Neodiprion lecontei: one gene and its partner. The protein of the gene in region 2 purifies or fractionates together with the protein of the main gene of each other region. This does not show direct contact. Links are inferred from orthologs where the notes say so. Each region holds a gene or a part of one and is shown on either strand. Other genes may lie near its edges.

What was found.
Region 1: the proteins of sorting nexin-4 (region 2) and sorting nexin-30 purify together in Homo sapiens (co-immunoprecipitation; 4 studies listed by BioGRID and IntAct, counting the BioPlex papers as one, with this or other methods). This does not show direct contact. The link is inferred for Neodiprion lecontei from reciprocal best matches to the Homo sapiens genes SNX4 and SNX30.

The regions. Positions count from the first base shown.
Region 1 is NC_060263.1:34,516,128-34,523,351, reverse strand, and holds sorting nexin-30, read right to left. Parts: upstream 4,182-7,224; 5' UTR 4,008-4,181; coding exon 3,843-4,007; intron 3,567-3,842; coding exon 3,411-3,566; intron 3,035-3,410; coding exon 2,924-3,034; intron 2,839-2,923; coding exon 2,674-2,838; intron 2,592-2,673; coding exon 2,396-2,591; intron 2,277-2,395; coding exon 2,002-2,276; intron 1,920-2,001; coding exon 1,563-1,919; 3' UTR 1,193-1,562; downstream 1-1,192. Other genes in the region: uncharacterized protein LOC107218731, read left to right, coding at 155-233, 342-396; DNA-binding protein RFX2, read left to right, coding at 5,303-5,312. UniProt on the Homo sapiens protein: Involved in the regulation of endocytosis and in several stages of intracellular trafficking. Together with SNX4, involved in autophagosome assembly.
Region 2 is NC_060260.1:2,605,917-2,613,398, reverse strand, and holds sorting nexin-4, read left to right. Parts: upstream 1-2,873; 5' UTR 2,874-3,044; coding exon 3,045-3,155; intron 3,156-3,687; coding exon 3,688-3,794; intron 3,795-3,879; coding exon 3,880-4,096; intron 4,097-4,178; coding exon 4,179-4,284; intron 4,285-4,428; coding exon 4,429-4,538; intron 4,539-4,620; coding exon 4,621-4,758; intron 4,759-4,828; coding exon 4,829-5,039; intron 5,040-5,112; coding exon 5,113-5,245; intron 5,246-5,336; coding exon 5,337-5,451; intron 5,452-5,542; coding exon 5,543-5,593; 3' UTR 5,594-6,026; downstream 6,027-7,482. Other genes in the region: splicing factor 1, read left to right, coding at 1-28, 119-277, 355-623, 710-1,265. UniProt on the Homo sapiens protein: Involved in the regulation of endocytosis and in several stages of intracellular trafficking. Plays a role in recycling endocytosed transferrin receptor and prevent its degradation.

The sequences.
Region 1 (7,224 bases), on a different chromosome or scaffold from region 2:
CTCTTGTACGTACATGCATCAACATAATGTATGATATATTTACGATTTGTTCATAGATAATAGCCGCAGACTGAATAGAATATTTTTCCAAATTTCTATTACTTGTTTGGTTTGATACTAATAGTAAGTTATTGAAGTATTATTTAATTTTCAGGGGAATCCATTACGAGGCTTCATGATTTCGACAACCTTGTAGAATTATTTATTACACCCTTACCTGACTCTCCAACGATGTAATAACGTATTTATGCCCAGAACAGACATCTTACGGAATATAAATTATTGAATAATGTAACTGCTGTTATCATTAATTCTCTTCCTTTTATTTGTTGAATTACTAGATGTATCATCATTCTCAGGAACTTATTGCCTCGGCACACAAGTTTGAGCACATAGTCAAGAGAGTCTTGCATTACACATGAAGGTAGGTTAAAATTAAGCTATTAAATATCCTTGTATTAAGTGATGATTAATTTTATTTAGATTTTAAGACATTGATTCTACTAAACAAGTTGAATAGTCGACAATGATAATTGTTCGAGTTTGCATAATTTTAGATATAAATTGTCACGAGATATCTATCCAAACAATTTCATGACAGAATTCGTAGATATTTGATTAATATCACACTAAAATTTAATGTATCCGCTTAACAAAATATGTATTCCATTCTAATATAAGAAATATTGGACATAGAGATTTTACATGATTTTCATGCGTAACTAACAATAGGCAAATTCATTTTATCATATCTAGTTAAGTGATTTTTTGACAAATAGTAGATGGTATATCCAAGGCGGCACAATAGGTCTCTTAACACCGAGCATAAGTTTACAATATGAGTGACAGGCAAGCATGTGCATGTATTTTGCCTCCATGGTGCAGTCGACACTTTATATAACAAAAGTGTAGTTTACTAGTTTTTCCTTCATAGCGGCGTACATAAAAGAGCTCTGTTAAGTGCTAGGACGTAAAAGTGTATTTTTGCATACTCCGATGCTCTTTTTTCATACTGTCGGTAAAACGAGTACTTTAAGTACGGAACACAGGCAAAAAGACGTGTAAACCAAACTCTGTTACATAAATACATATATTTACATGATAAAGTTTGCAAAAATTTGCCTTCATCACAGCCGGTAGTTTCAAATACTAGTGGCTAGTAAATACTTGGGAGAAAAATAAATACAATAAGTATAATACTAAGTCAATAACTTTTAATATTTCATTGGGATCAAAACATGATGAGCAAATTCAAAATGTCAGCAGATATTGAACAGCCAGCTATACAATCAGAAACTGATGTTATCCACGGATGTACGAAAGGATTATGATTGTAATATTTTAATTTTTTTTACACGATGTCAGCTTATATTACATATATTTCACTTTTATTGTCGAGAAAGATATTCATTTTAGTATTGTTATATTCTTCGGCCATTGATAACACGTGGGTATTTAAATATTTTATTATTCGATCTTAAAGTTTATGATTAATGGTAATTATACAACAGTGCGGTTTTTTTTTCTTGCATTTAAAGTAAGACTAGAATGCTATTTGAAATTTAAGCAGGAACCTTAATAGAAGGGCCCAAATTAATTTCTGTTCCGTTATCAAGTTTTAAACCTGACAGCACCTCTTCCCAGGCATTCATGCAATGTTGATAATGCAAAATCTGTTGATCCGCCATTGATATGAGCATAGTTTTCAAATCCGAACGCTTTTCTTTATTCCAACGTTCCAGATCACTACGTAAATTTTCATTAGCACATTCTACACGGTCTTGCAGGAGTTCCACTTTTTTTCCAAGCCTAGGAATGGACTGTCCAATTTTTTCTAGCTTTTCATCTCGAGATTCACCTTTCCATAATGAACCACCCCAACCAGGTGAATTACTGGAACTAGCTCCAACACCTGTCAACTACACAAATATTATCAAATTGTATAAATCAAATTATATTTGTTGTATGACAATATTCTTATAAAAAGTTGAAATTGCTCACCTGATCTTTTTCTTGGCGTTTTTTAGCCAAATCATCTACAGTCATTTCGTACTCAATTTGCATTGAATCACGCCGAACTAAAGTATCCCGTACAGCATCTATGTAGGCCAAGTATTCTCGCATATCGCTTGGGAATGAGTCAAGCACAACCTGATGAGCAACTGCATTATTTTCAATTGCTTTAGCAATTGCAGTTAAAATTGGATTTAGCTCTGGTTCAGATGTCGCCCATAGGGTAAATATTGGATGTAACTGATGTAACTCCAACAGATATTCTGTTCAACAGTAAAAAGCGAAATATTAGTAGCCAGATGATATAATTTATCTAATTCTACATGCTTCTAAACAGAATATGTATCTTCTGAGATTTAAATGTGTAAAAATTGAACTCTACCTTGTCTTTCTTTCTGAATTCGGTGGCTAATTTTGTCTATAGTTGATAGTTTATCAGCCAATGCCACGCAATAATCTCGCACCTGTTCAAATTCAAGATGCCGCTGTTTCATTGTGTACATATTAGCCATATTTTGCAGGGAATCAGTCATTTTTACGAGAACATTACTGCGGGATTTTCGATGGATAGAGAATTCCTGTTGAAAAGTATAAACATCAGTAATTTTCATAGGTAAAATTGTTTAGTATCTTTGAAATTATTTTTTTGACAATACGTACAGCTGGTTTAGCAGTCAGAAAAATGTATAAACTTTTTTCAGAGCTTAGAATTGGATGGTTCACTACACGGTTTAGAAATCCATGTAAAAGTTTCATTCGAGCCATTATAAATTCCTTTGAGTAACGATCTAGCTGTGCCAACAGCGTGTGTTTACCCGGCATTGGCTATAAGTGTGAACTATCATTTAGAATACGTATGCTTAATTAATATATACGTTATGAGTGTGTAGTGTTATAAATGAGCACTTACAGGTATAATGTGTGTTGGGTAGGTGTCGACAAGTTTCTGACGTAACCAAATGAAATCATTGTAACGACGGCGCACGACATACTCAGTTTCTTCAAATTCAGGACGTGATGTCTGAAAATTCAATTGCCATGCATGTTTGAAAATCTAGTAAAGGTTTAGATTAGTACTATACTTTTTTTTTTAATGAACTTTAATATTAACAAATACGTAAAATAACACATAGTGTGTATTCTAAAATCAAATTTATCGCTCAAAAAGTTTTGGAACATTGTTTTACATGTCTCATAAACAAGATGAAAGTGACCCTAATGTAAAAACGTTTATAGTGCTAAATGCAATGAGGTAAGCTCTCTAATTATCACATTTCCCAAGTCTAAATACATGTGTCTACATACCGTGCCGATACTTGTCTCAACAAAGCGATCTAAACTCTGTTCACTATAAATGATAATTTGTCCATATATTGTAATCAATATATGCTGCATACCCTTGTTGTAACGCGGAATGTGATGAATGTCTCCAAGGTTTCAAGATGCTTTTGAGGATTATCTACTTTCACCTGTAGATCCCGAGAGTCAATGGGGAAATCTGATATTTCTTGTTCTGGTAAAGTTGAAAAACTATCGATGGATGGAGATGCTACCTGAATGAAAAATAATTAAGTTTGATTACGCTATGGTCATATGTTGCATTAAGAATTAGTTGGATATATCTTTCTCGGCTACTAGTTAGCGGCCGAATATTCGCTACGCCTTTTGCCAATTTTCATAATTTCTTTAAAATATTCTTGTACCCGAGAAGAGATCATTCAACTGCATGAATATTATTGTTTTGCAATGTTGACGTTTTAATTGCCTAATAGTTTTCACGAATCATAAGCATCATATGATCATAAGTTAATATTGTAGGTTATACTAACCACAGATCCTTCGATCGAAGTACTGTAATTGGAGAGAAAATCTGTGTCGCGACTTTCTTGTTTCACCAAACCTCCTGCAGCCATCGAACTGACTTGAAGAACGGCCGAATCTTCCATAGTTTTTTCATCGAGCGCATCAATGTCTGTTTCCGAAGATGTCATCATTTTGATTTTTGATTGACAAGTATGAAACACTACGCCAAAGTACGCCACACAGTTACAAACATCAACCTGCAGTAAACGTAGTATAGTGAACTGTGTGGAATCGAGTGACAATCGTGACAGGTGACGTATGAGATCTACCGGTATCTGTTATGTCTGTTATCTTATAATCTTATGTTTAAACCGGAAAAAGATGTAACCGGATGTCGAGCAGTGCCGCAACGGAGAAATAGTTTCAAATTGTTGGCGGGTACCGATTGTTTTAGGTAGCATTTGTTTTTCTCGATCATAAAGCGTGTTTTTCTTGCATCCGAGGATGACGGCGAATCAATAAAGTAGTAAATAATAATCGTCTCGTAGATACCGTAGCTCTGGGATACATGTCTAATAATTAAATCTTGCCAATATTCTAATTAAATAATAATGAATTGGCAAAGTGAAGGTAATAATAGGTATGGAACTTCGAGGTTCATTGTCACGCCAAACGAAGGACGCCGTATCGTCACAGCGATTCGTTATCATCCCAAAAATCGATCCGCTGTTCATTGTATTGCGACAAATTCCCAAATCACCTACGGTGAGTATTTTTATTGACTAATTTCTCTTGCAAATCATCTTCCTGATTTCGAATCCATATGTGGCTAGGCGCGTCAGAAATTATAGCGTGATTAACTAGAATAAAATTTATCGTCAATAACGGCCAACTGTATACGCCGAGCAACCGCGGTGCTTGCACAATTGAGCTGTATTGAATTTAAGAACAAAATAAAAGTGGAAGAAAACCGAAGACGAATTCGAGAGCTCGAAACACCTGTCACGGAAGCCGAGAATTAGGAGTCGAACCCATTGCTGCCTGCTGTTACGCGGTTGGTGTAGTCCGCCGCGCGTAGGAACATTAGTCCAAGCGTAGGAAAGCAGTTCCCTAGCAATAGAGATTCCGTATAAATTTTCAGTAATTTTCGAGAAGCTGTAGGGAGGAGTGCAAGGCTGAAAATAAGTTCGCCGTTCCTAGTTTAGATGTGATTATTTTTGGGTAGAATGAACCAACATGGTGCGAGTTAAACCGAAAAACGAGGGGATTCGGACGGGTAGTTCAGCGGCGTGTGATGCCGTAGCCAAGGCGACCGCAGCAGCAGACAACTGACAATCCGCTGCTCGTCGTCAACAATATTCTAGCGTGCATATTTCAGTTCGTTTCCACGGTGATTTGCAGGGTCAGCACCGAGGAATCCTGGACGACATTAAGACACCTGTCAGGAAAGCCGGCAGGCTAGCAAACACAAGTTTATTCGTCATTCATGAAAACAGGTGCGACCGATTGATTGTGTAGTTAAGATGGCTGCATAATTGCATGCCAGTTTTTTCATTTCTGGTATTTTTGATCAAGTACCCTGTTTTCGGACAACTTTACGCTTGTTCTATCGGTCTTCTGTGAAGGTGGTGCAATTTTCGGAATCGGTCCCATTATCCTTAATTCTTTGTATAAGTAGCTTCAATGACCAGAGTTTATGCTCACCAGCAAGTTTACCCTGTCATTATATTTTCCTATTTTAAAAACCTTCCAATAATACAGATTTGGTTGTTCAGTTGTTTTAAACTATTGATAATCAACTAAGAAAGTTTTACAAAAATTCGTTACACAAATAATCGGTGCAACTTCGAGAAATATGGAACAAAATGACAAAGTCATTGAGCCAAGGTAAAAAAATTCTACCTTGAATATCACAAATCATTAATCTTTGAAGCTAAGGGTGCTCTTATCTGTTTGTCATAATTTAATCGAGTTGCACCATTGTTCATATTTTTTTCCAATACTGCAATGCGGTATAATTTTTATAAATGAAATTCTTAGATCTCACACATACATGAATTAAATAAAAGCTCTGTTCATAACATTTCTTGGAACATTGTACACACTCCTGAGTGAAAGCAATATATGACAGTATTTCTATTGATCTCAATTATCCACAAGTAACAATAAGTAAATAAATAATTAATAAAATAATAAATCAACAATATAAGATCAGAGAAATAGAGGAGTACACTGGAGTGTGATTTTTTGTCTAGCCTAGTTCTATTAGGTTCACTTTCACCCCATCATACTGCAGGTATCATACGTTCTTTCCTGCACCCTAGCAAATTTATAAGCCACATTACAGCATCACATGCACCACTGAGTTTTTTCAATTTCGCACGCCATGCCACCCTCTGGCCTATAGAATTGAATACCGATCAAATCCACCAGGGTTTCAATTAAAACCGTCTTATACATATTACTATATCAGATTATTAAGTCTTTCGATGCAATATACTATAATTCAGAGATTCTTGAATGAGTAAGAATAGATAGTTTAATTCTACAAACGAATACATGCTTGATAATACCATATAGCTGTTTGCATTTTCATTTATTATCAAGCTTGGAATAATTTTATGGATACATAATATTTACAACTAAATCTTATTTCTAGGTAATAACAAGGGTGGAGGAATGAGTATATGGGGTATTCCATGCCAACTAGACCTGCCGCCAACCCTCACCATCTTCGATTTGGCTTGAACTTTAATATTGTATTTGAGGGGTCGAAAAAGTAGCCAATGAATTATTTCAGATTTTTTTGACCACCGGTGAAAAAGTTATTTCATTTTCACACTAATTTATATCCCACCATGCGTCAGTCGTACGAAACAGTCATTAATACAAAAATTCATAGCGATAACGTGAAATGGAAGGAAATATTTTTTACCGATTTTTTAAGCGACTTGATAAATTCTTTTTGTTTTTCAAACACAGTCTAAAATCGCAATTTTCATAGTGTTGGCCACCTTTAATCTTCAATGAAATTTGCACCATGAATTTCTTGTGAAAATACCTAACTTTTAAGACCTTCCCAAAGATGGAGAGATCTTTGGTTCAGAAGTTCCAATCAAACGAATATCAAGGAAACGAATAATATGGGAGTACCTACCTAAACTAAATGCCTACGGAAATGAGTTATATCTTACAAGTGAAATTATCAGAATCAAATTAATTATTCATTTGTTTGGTAAACAAAAAAGTGAAAGGTACACGTCTAATTATATATATATGACGTGATGTTTGATCTATCGCATAATTAATATGTTTCATCTGTGTAGTAAAACGATTTTTCTGCATTTGTATTACACGTTCTAAAAAATTATGTACCTACCTGAATTGATGCAGTACTCAATTAATTGT
Region 2 (7,482 bases):
TGATGCTGTGAAGAAAGCAGTTGAAAGGGTGTGTATGCCTCTAATGAAAACCAAACGAAACCATCCCAATATTTAATCTATACTCCAGAAAAATACACAAGTGTATCGTTGTTGTTAGATTCATGAAATAATTAGACAAGGAGTTGAAGTACCTGAGGGCCAGAACGATTTACGTCGCAATCAATTACGCGAATTAGCATTGCTGAATGGAACACTTCGAGAGAATGACGGACCTCGATGTACGAACTGTGGCGCAAGCGACCACAAATCTTGGCTGGTAAGTATATCACCACTTTTCGTCTTCTGGTCCGCTGCAGAAGCTCTAATCTTTATTATCTCGCAACTTATTTCCAGTGTCCTGACAAACCCAATGTTACCAATAACATCGTATGCTCGAGTTGCGGAGGCGCGGGACATATAGCGCGAGATTGTCGATCAAAACGACCTGGTCAAGGTGGTCCAGCAGCTGCTGGAATGACTGGAATCACCCCAGGTGGCGATAAAGCAAAGATTGACGAGGAATACATGTCACTAATGGCTGAGCTCGGCGAGGGTCCACCCCCAGATCGATCCAAGGGACATCAACGCTCCCAAAACACAAATTATCCGGGTCTATTCGATAGGTAAGTCGTCGACTCCCTGACTTGACCAGAATTATGTTACTGATATTCTTCACAATATTAGCTATAAAAATTGATACTTCTTTCAGACAACAAGCGCCTCGTGCTTTGATGGCAGCTCCGGCACATCCACCGCCGCAGATGATGCAAGGCGGTCCAATGATGCCTCCACCAGGCATGGCGCCGCCTCCCTGGACCCAGAACGATGTGAACAGCATGAATGGTATGAATATGCAGTGGCAACCTCCGGTCAGCATGCCTCCGCCTCCAGGTGTGATGCAGCCGCCACCTCCGCCCCCCGGCTCAACCACGCAACCCAATATTCCACCGTTGATGCCGTGGATGACTGCAAACAACCAGCCTCCACCGCCCGGCCAAATGCCACCAAGCCAAATGCCCCCGGGAATGGGAGGAATGCCACCGTGGCAACAAGGGCAACAAAGTCCGATGCGTCCTCCGCCTCCTGGAACAGCTCCACCTCCTGGATATCCGGGATGGCAGCAGCAAACCCTGAGCGGATGGCCGCCAGCAGCCCCTGTACCTCCGCCACCTCAGCAACCGGCACCTGCACCGCCGGGTATCGATTTGAACAGCTTACCGACATTGTTGGCGCAACCGCCGCCGCCACCTCCGCCAACCAGTTAGTGCAAAACTGAGTCGAACCACGAAATTTAATTTTGAATTACCACTTAGGTGTAACAGCCAAAAGGGTAAGTTAAGTTTGCTACTTCGTTAAGTGTGAGAAATTAAGGTTTCGATAACGTCGGTTGGGTGTCCATGCCGATCGAGATGTGGCTGAGATTCGTCTTTTCTTCGTTTTCTTACGTTGTTTCACGTGGGTGATCTTACTTTTGAAACACGTATTTTCAGAATGTGTATCACAATTTACGAGATATCATGGAGTAGACACTAAATAACACAAATCAGCCGATGAAATTTATCATTTTTATTGTGTGAAAAACGTTATCTTGTTTTTTCCAGTAGTAAGCGTCCCTTAAAATTTAATTATTCAATGTTAGTTATTTAGATTTGTTAGGTACAATCTGATTAATTGACAAATGTTTTTTTTCATCACTTTGAACGATCATCCGTCTGTGTACAACAGAACCACTTGAAAATTGATTCGAACCTCACCTGATAGGAACGATGTTTTGTAACATTATTTCTCCTGAATAGATCCAAAGACAAACAGTCAAGCATGTGAGTGTTTTTATATACTGTACGTCAACATCTGTTGGCTGTTTAGAAAAAATTTTGCACGGGGTTTTTGTCTACAATGTGAAAAGCCTCGAATGACGTTCGAAAATTTGGAACAATTTTCTATATTATAAATATAATTTTTGTTTGTGGATTTCACAACAGCAATAGTATAAATTATCATATACTTAAACAGTATATATAAGTATATACATACAAAGCACGATACAGAATCAAAAAATGATGCAAGAAAAAGAAACAAGAAATTTAACAAAAGATTAATTTACTAAGTAAAACATAATCACTTCTTTAATTAGCGCATGCGTATATAATAGTTAATAAGTAACTATATTCATCAACCTGCGCAGATTTCTAATTATTTTATTCACTATAAATCTTCCTAATTTAACAAAACTTTTACGTGGAATGAAATGTCATTTGGGTTATTTTCAGTGTATTGTACTGCATATGTCAAATATTACTGAAAAATAAAATTATCAATAATAAAGGTATAATTCTGACGAATGGGACCAGCATAGTCGCATAATTAAACCAGTCGTATGGAATTTGGGCGTACTACTTGTCCATCCTATGTATTGCCATAGAGAAGACTGCGCGCTTTGCGCACAGTGTTGAAGCTGTGACAAAACAAAGAACGACAGCTGCAGGCATTTTCTCTCACTCTAATCGGTGACTTGGCAGGGGCAACACATAGGACTTATACACGTAGCCTCCCCACCTTGCGACTGCTCCCCACTCTTGCGCACCCTGCGCAAGGGTTCTTGGGTAATTTGAAATTCTTAATTATATCATGCTGAAAACATTGGTTTTGAATCTTGATACATTCTACTAATCATCGACACGTATGATGTTTTTGAATGAGTATTTCTCTTCCATATGATGTATTGGCTTTCTGGGACGTATTGGACGACCCGAGCGACTAAACTGATAACGAATGGACAAACTGTAGCGACTTGGCCCAAATTCATCACGCCGACTTTCGGCGCACGCGCGTTTGTTTCACCGCTCGGTTCAGACGGGTAGAAACCTCCGATGCGACGCTTTGCATCGACGTCAGTTCAGCAGCTTTAGCAATTAGCTAGCCAAAGATGAAATAAATAGGTCGTGATGTGATCAGGTGACTTTGGCGTAGTGCGAAGAGTTGATGGACAGACAATCGCGAATTAATATTAACTCGAAGTCGATATCCGTCTGCACGGAGGAACGATGGAGGAAATATTTCAAAACGGGAATTACGACGATAGACTAGGAAATAACATCTCAACAATAACAACAACAGCCAACATGACTACATCAGAGGAAATAATACGGAAAGAGGTAAATACGCATCGATGATTTTTAGTATAATATCACGGGGTGAAAGAAGATTGAGAGACGCGTCCTAGGTACAGTGTCTACTTGTAATTTCTAAACATTATTCCTACATATGATTACAGTTCGATCTGATCTACATATTTAAGAGAGGGAGAATCAAAAATAGGTAACGCGATAATTCTAACGGCAGAAGATAATTCAAATACTCTAGTCGCACCCTGACATGTGTACAAACAATATTATCATGTATACTTCGCCTGTTGACTTTCTACGATAATCAGCAAAGTCCTCCTCCTGTTATGTTGACCCAGTGACCCATCTCTCCAATCAATTTTACTCAACTCTGATTTGAACACGAGTTTTGCAATAAAGTAAATAAAATATTTTCAGTAAATAACGTGGGAGTAACTGAAAAATTTCAATATCAAAGAGTTTTAACATTCTTCCTTTAGATCCCGATTCAATAACAATTGCTAAAAAACTTTATGAGCATTAGATCATCGATAAATAATATTACTCTAATTCGCCATTTCAGGATTGTCTTCTTGATCATATGGAAATCGTGATAGTGGAGGCAGAAAAGCGTGCCAACGGAGCTTTAAATCTCAGAGAATTTTACACGGTTTATTTGGTGGAAACCAAGTGAGTGGGTCTTGTTATTCTAAACAAGTATATTGATTTCAGCCTGAGATTTTACCCCACTAATGATACATCGTGTGTGTTTCAGAGTAACCGATCCAGACTTCAAAGGCGCTCTGACACAACTTAGTTCGTTATGGAGACGCTACACCGAATTTGAATTGTTACGGGCTTACCTGGAGGTATCTTATCCTTACATAGTGTTACCTGCGCTGCCTGAGAAGAAGGTACTTTATGGATGGCAAAAGGTAGCTTCCGATACGTTCGATCCTGACTTTGTCGATCGCCGTAGAGCTGGACTTGAGGTAAGGATGTAGACTGTAGATTATGTTTGCTTAATAAATTATTTAAATATATACTATATTTCCCGCTGCTTATTGCCTACAGAATTTCCTGTTGCGTGTTGCTTCACATCCAGTGTTATCACACGACGAACACTTCATGGGTTTCCTGCAGCAGGAAAACGATTGGCGAGAGAGTATCAAGGAAACTGGTAGGTATAAAGTTGGCTGAAACTTTTGTGCCACTGATAAAGATAGCAGCTGAGTTTTTCAGGTCAATTTTATTCAGGATACATAATTACAGCACGAATTTTTCGAGCCTTGCATAGTGTGATACGGTTCTTTCTTTCTTCTAGGCTATCTGCATCTAGCAGAATCCAAGCTAAAAGCTCTTAGCGTAGCTGTGAGACTGAAAAAACCTGATAAACGATTTGAAACAATAAAAAACTACGGAATTGAATTACAGGTAAGGGGGTACAGAAAGATTCATTGTTTATTCAACCTTTCCGCGATCATGTCCCGAATTTATCCACCATTCATCATTTCAGAGCAATTTATGCAACCTACTTAGAGTTCGAGCACGTCTGGTCGAAAAGCAATATGGACTGTACAAATTACACGCTAATTATGGACGTGTGTTCAGCGAGTGGAGTGCTATAGAGAAAGAAATGGGCGATGGTCTGCAGGTACTTTATTTATCCTCGCTTCTCCTCACTTCATCGGTATTTAATACCTTATCCTGAATGATTTTTACAGAAATCTGGACATTACTTAGACTCGATAGCCGCAAGTATTGACACAGCTCTAGAGGAGGAGGAGCTCATCGCAGACCAATTGAAGGAGTGGTTATTTGGGGCTTCTGCACTACAGGCAGTCGTCAGACGAAGAGAAGCTTTGCAACTGGTTAGCGATGAGACCTACGATTCTCTCACCGCGACTTGTGAGCATAAGGATAAATTGCAGCAAGGTATACGAAAATCTCTAAGAATAAACATCTAATTCTCAACAATTTATTACACGCATTGTTACATCGTTTACAGGTAAAACTGGGCTCATATCCCGTCTGTTCGGGTCTGTGGATACAGAAGAGGTGCGTGAGCTGAAGGTTCACCAGCTGGAGCAGAGAATTAATCAAAGTGAAACAGCTGTGAAACAGGCGAACGAAGACTTGGAGTGAGTTAAGCTCTTTTGACTTTCATTAATATCTTGATGGCTGCAATGTTATCGGTTGGGACGTTGATAACGGTCGACACTTTATTTCCAGATCTTTCTCCATCAAAGCAATGGTGGATATAGAAAGATTCCAGCACCAGAAAGTACTAGATTTGAAGGAGACTCTCGCTGCATATTGTGTTCTACAGTTTAAGTTAGCTAGAAAGGTAATAAAAGCTGTACTTTGGTTCTGTTGTTTTTGGCATTGCAGTCTTGTTCGAAATAAAATGGAAATAAACTAACATTTGATATTTTCAGGGTCTTCAAACTTGGCAACATATCAAAGATTGCCTTGAGAGTATTCCTTAAGCTATTCAAAGCACATCCTGCAAGTACAATATCTCTTTATCAAGTGCAACATCACAAAACAACCTTAATCGTTCCATGTCACCCGATGTACATCTACATTCCTGCATTTATAAGCTCTCCAGACGTTTGATGTTCTAAGGTTATTTAAATATTCTTATTTAATAGATATTAGTTTGTGCATAATACATACTGAGCACAGCGTATACGCGTTGTGTATAAATACCTGAAAGACGAGCAGCACCGTTTAGTATTTATATGTACCTACATCTATATATTTAAAACAAAAAACATATATATATTTATGAATATAGATATATACGTGTATATATATATTCCATTGTTCGGCAAAGTTTAAGTAAAAGCGTCTGCGTAATTTGACGCAAAATTTGCTTTAAAAATTTAATAAACTTCGCATATGTACGTACAACGTTCCTACGCTTAAATCAAATTATTCAACGAGTTTTCGTTCCTTCATAAAATACTGAACCACAGTATAACTTTTTGTTAACGATCAATCATGCTAAACTTCCGGTTATGACGTGTTCGCACGACCCGCGAAAATATTTAAATAACATCTTGCCGGAGATTTGTTACGATTAAAATGGAAGTCATGCGATTTTCCAACAATACTTATCGACTTAAGTATGATCGAGGCAAAAGTTTCGGATGGAGTTTTGCCTGAGATTATTTCGCGCCGCTTTCTACCGCAAGTGTGAAAGTTCAAACGACGTAGGATGAGGTGAAATTTTTGCACAATCATTTTCAAACTTCTACCTAGTCGACCGAGCTTTGATATAAGCTTAATCCGTTGACCTAGAGTATTTCTCTAATCAAGTTTTTTTTTTTTGCTTCACACAAACTCTAAATTCCCAATTTACATTTTATAAACTTTGAAAACAAAATTTATCCTCTCAACACGCAAGAATAATTATTTTAATTCAAAAATTCACCAATAATTTATCCTCAGTCTGTAACGAATATCGGGGAATAGAATTATTCAGATTTTTATTAACAATAGAAAATTTTCTAAACCTTAAATCGTAACAATCGTAACGCGAGGCTTGTTACGCCTCTCACACATTAATTATCCAAAGTCGACGAGGCTGCTGACACGTTCCTGCTTTGATAAAAAATATCACGTGCCCACTGTTTGTGAGCTAGTATATGAAAGTGATGGATCGTTCGTCCTACAAACGTTTCCGCGAGATTTGGTTCAACAATTTCGCAACAAAAAATTACATGTAATTGATCGGTTCGCAAAGCGTGCGTCATTTTTTAGAATAGAATTAATTAATCACGTGAGCAATTTTAGTATCTTCTTTTTCGTTGTGTACCGTGATTGTCGTATTAATTTTGTGACGTGATAATATCTCGCCTTAATCTGGGAAATATATTTTTCACATGGAAAAAAACGTCGGAAAAATCGGAATCGCTGATCCGGCCGAATGATGTGCGTTAATTTTCGCATTGACATATCACAGGAGCGTCGGTAAAGCAGAAAACTTCCGAGACGCAAAATTTCCTAAACGTTTCCCGGCTCGAATAACGAATGGAATGTTGTAATTTCTTTGGCAAGGTATAACAACGAAGTCGTAATATTTGGATGTATGTAATAGCCAAATCTTGGATCAAAAATATAAAAATTGATTGTCCGTGAAATACGAGTAAAAAAAATTCCCATTATCCATCAAGATCGTATTTTTCAGTTTTATTTCTGAGTCACAGCATAGATGCTCGTCATAAAGTTTTTGGCGAAGATTCTTTGTAAACAATAAATAATTGCAGTTAGTTGTCAATTTGTGTGAAAAAATAATCCGTGGATTGTATAAATCAAACCGAACCGAAATTCTGGAAATGGCGTGAAACGCATCACGTGTATGGAAATCATG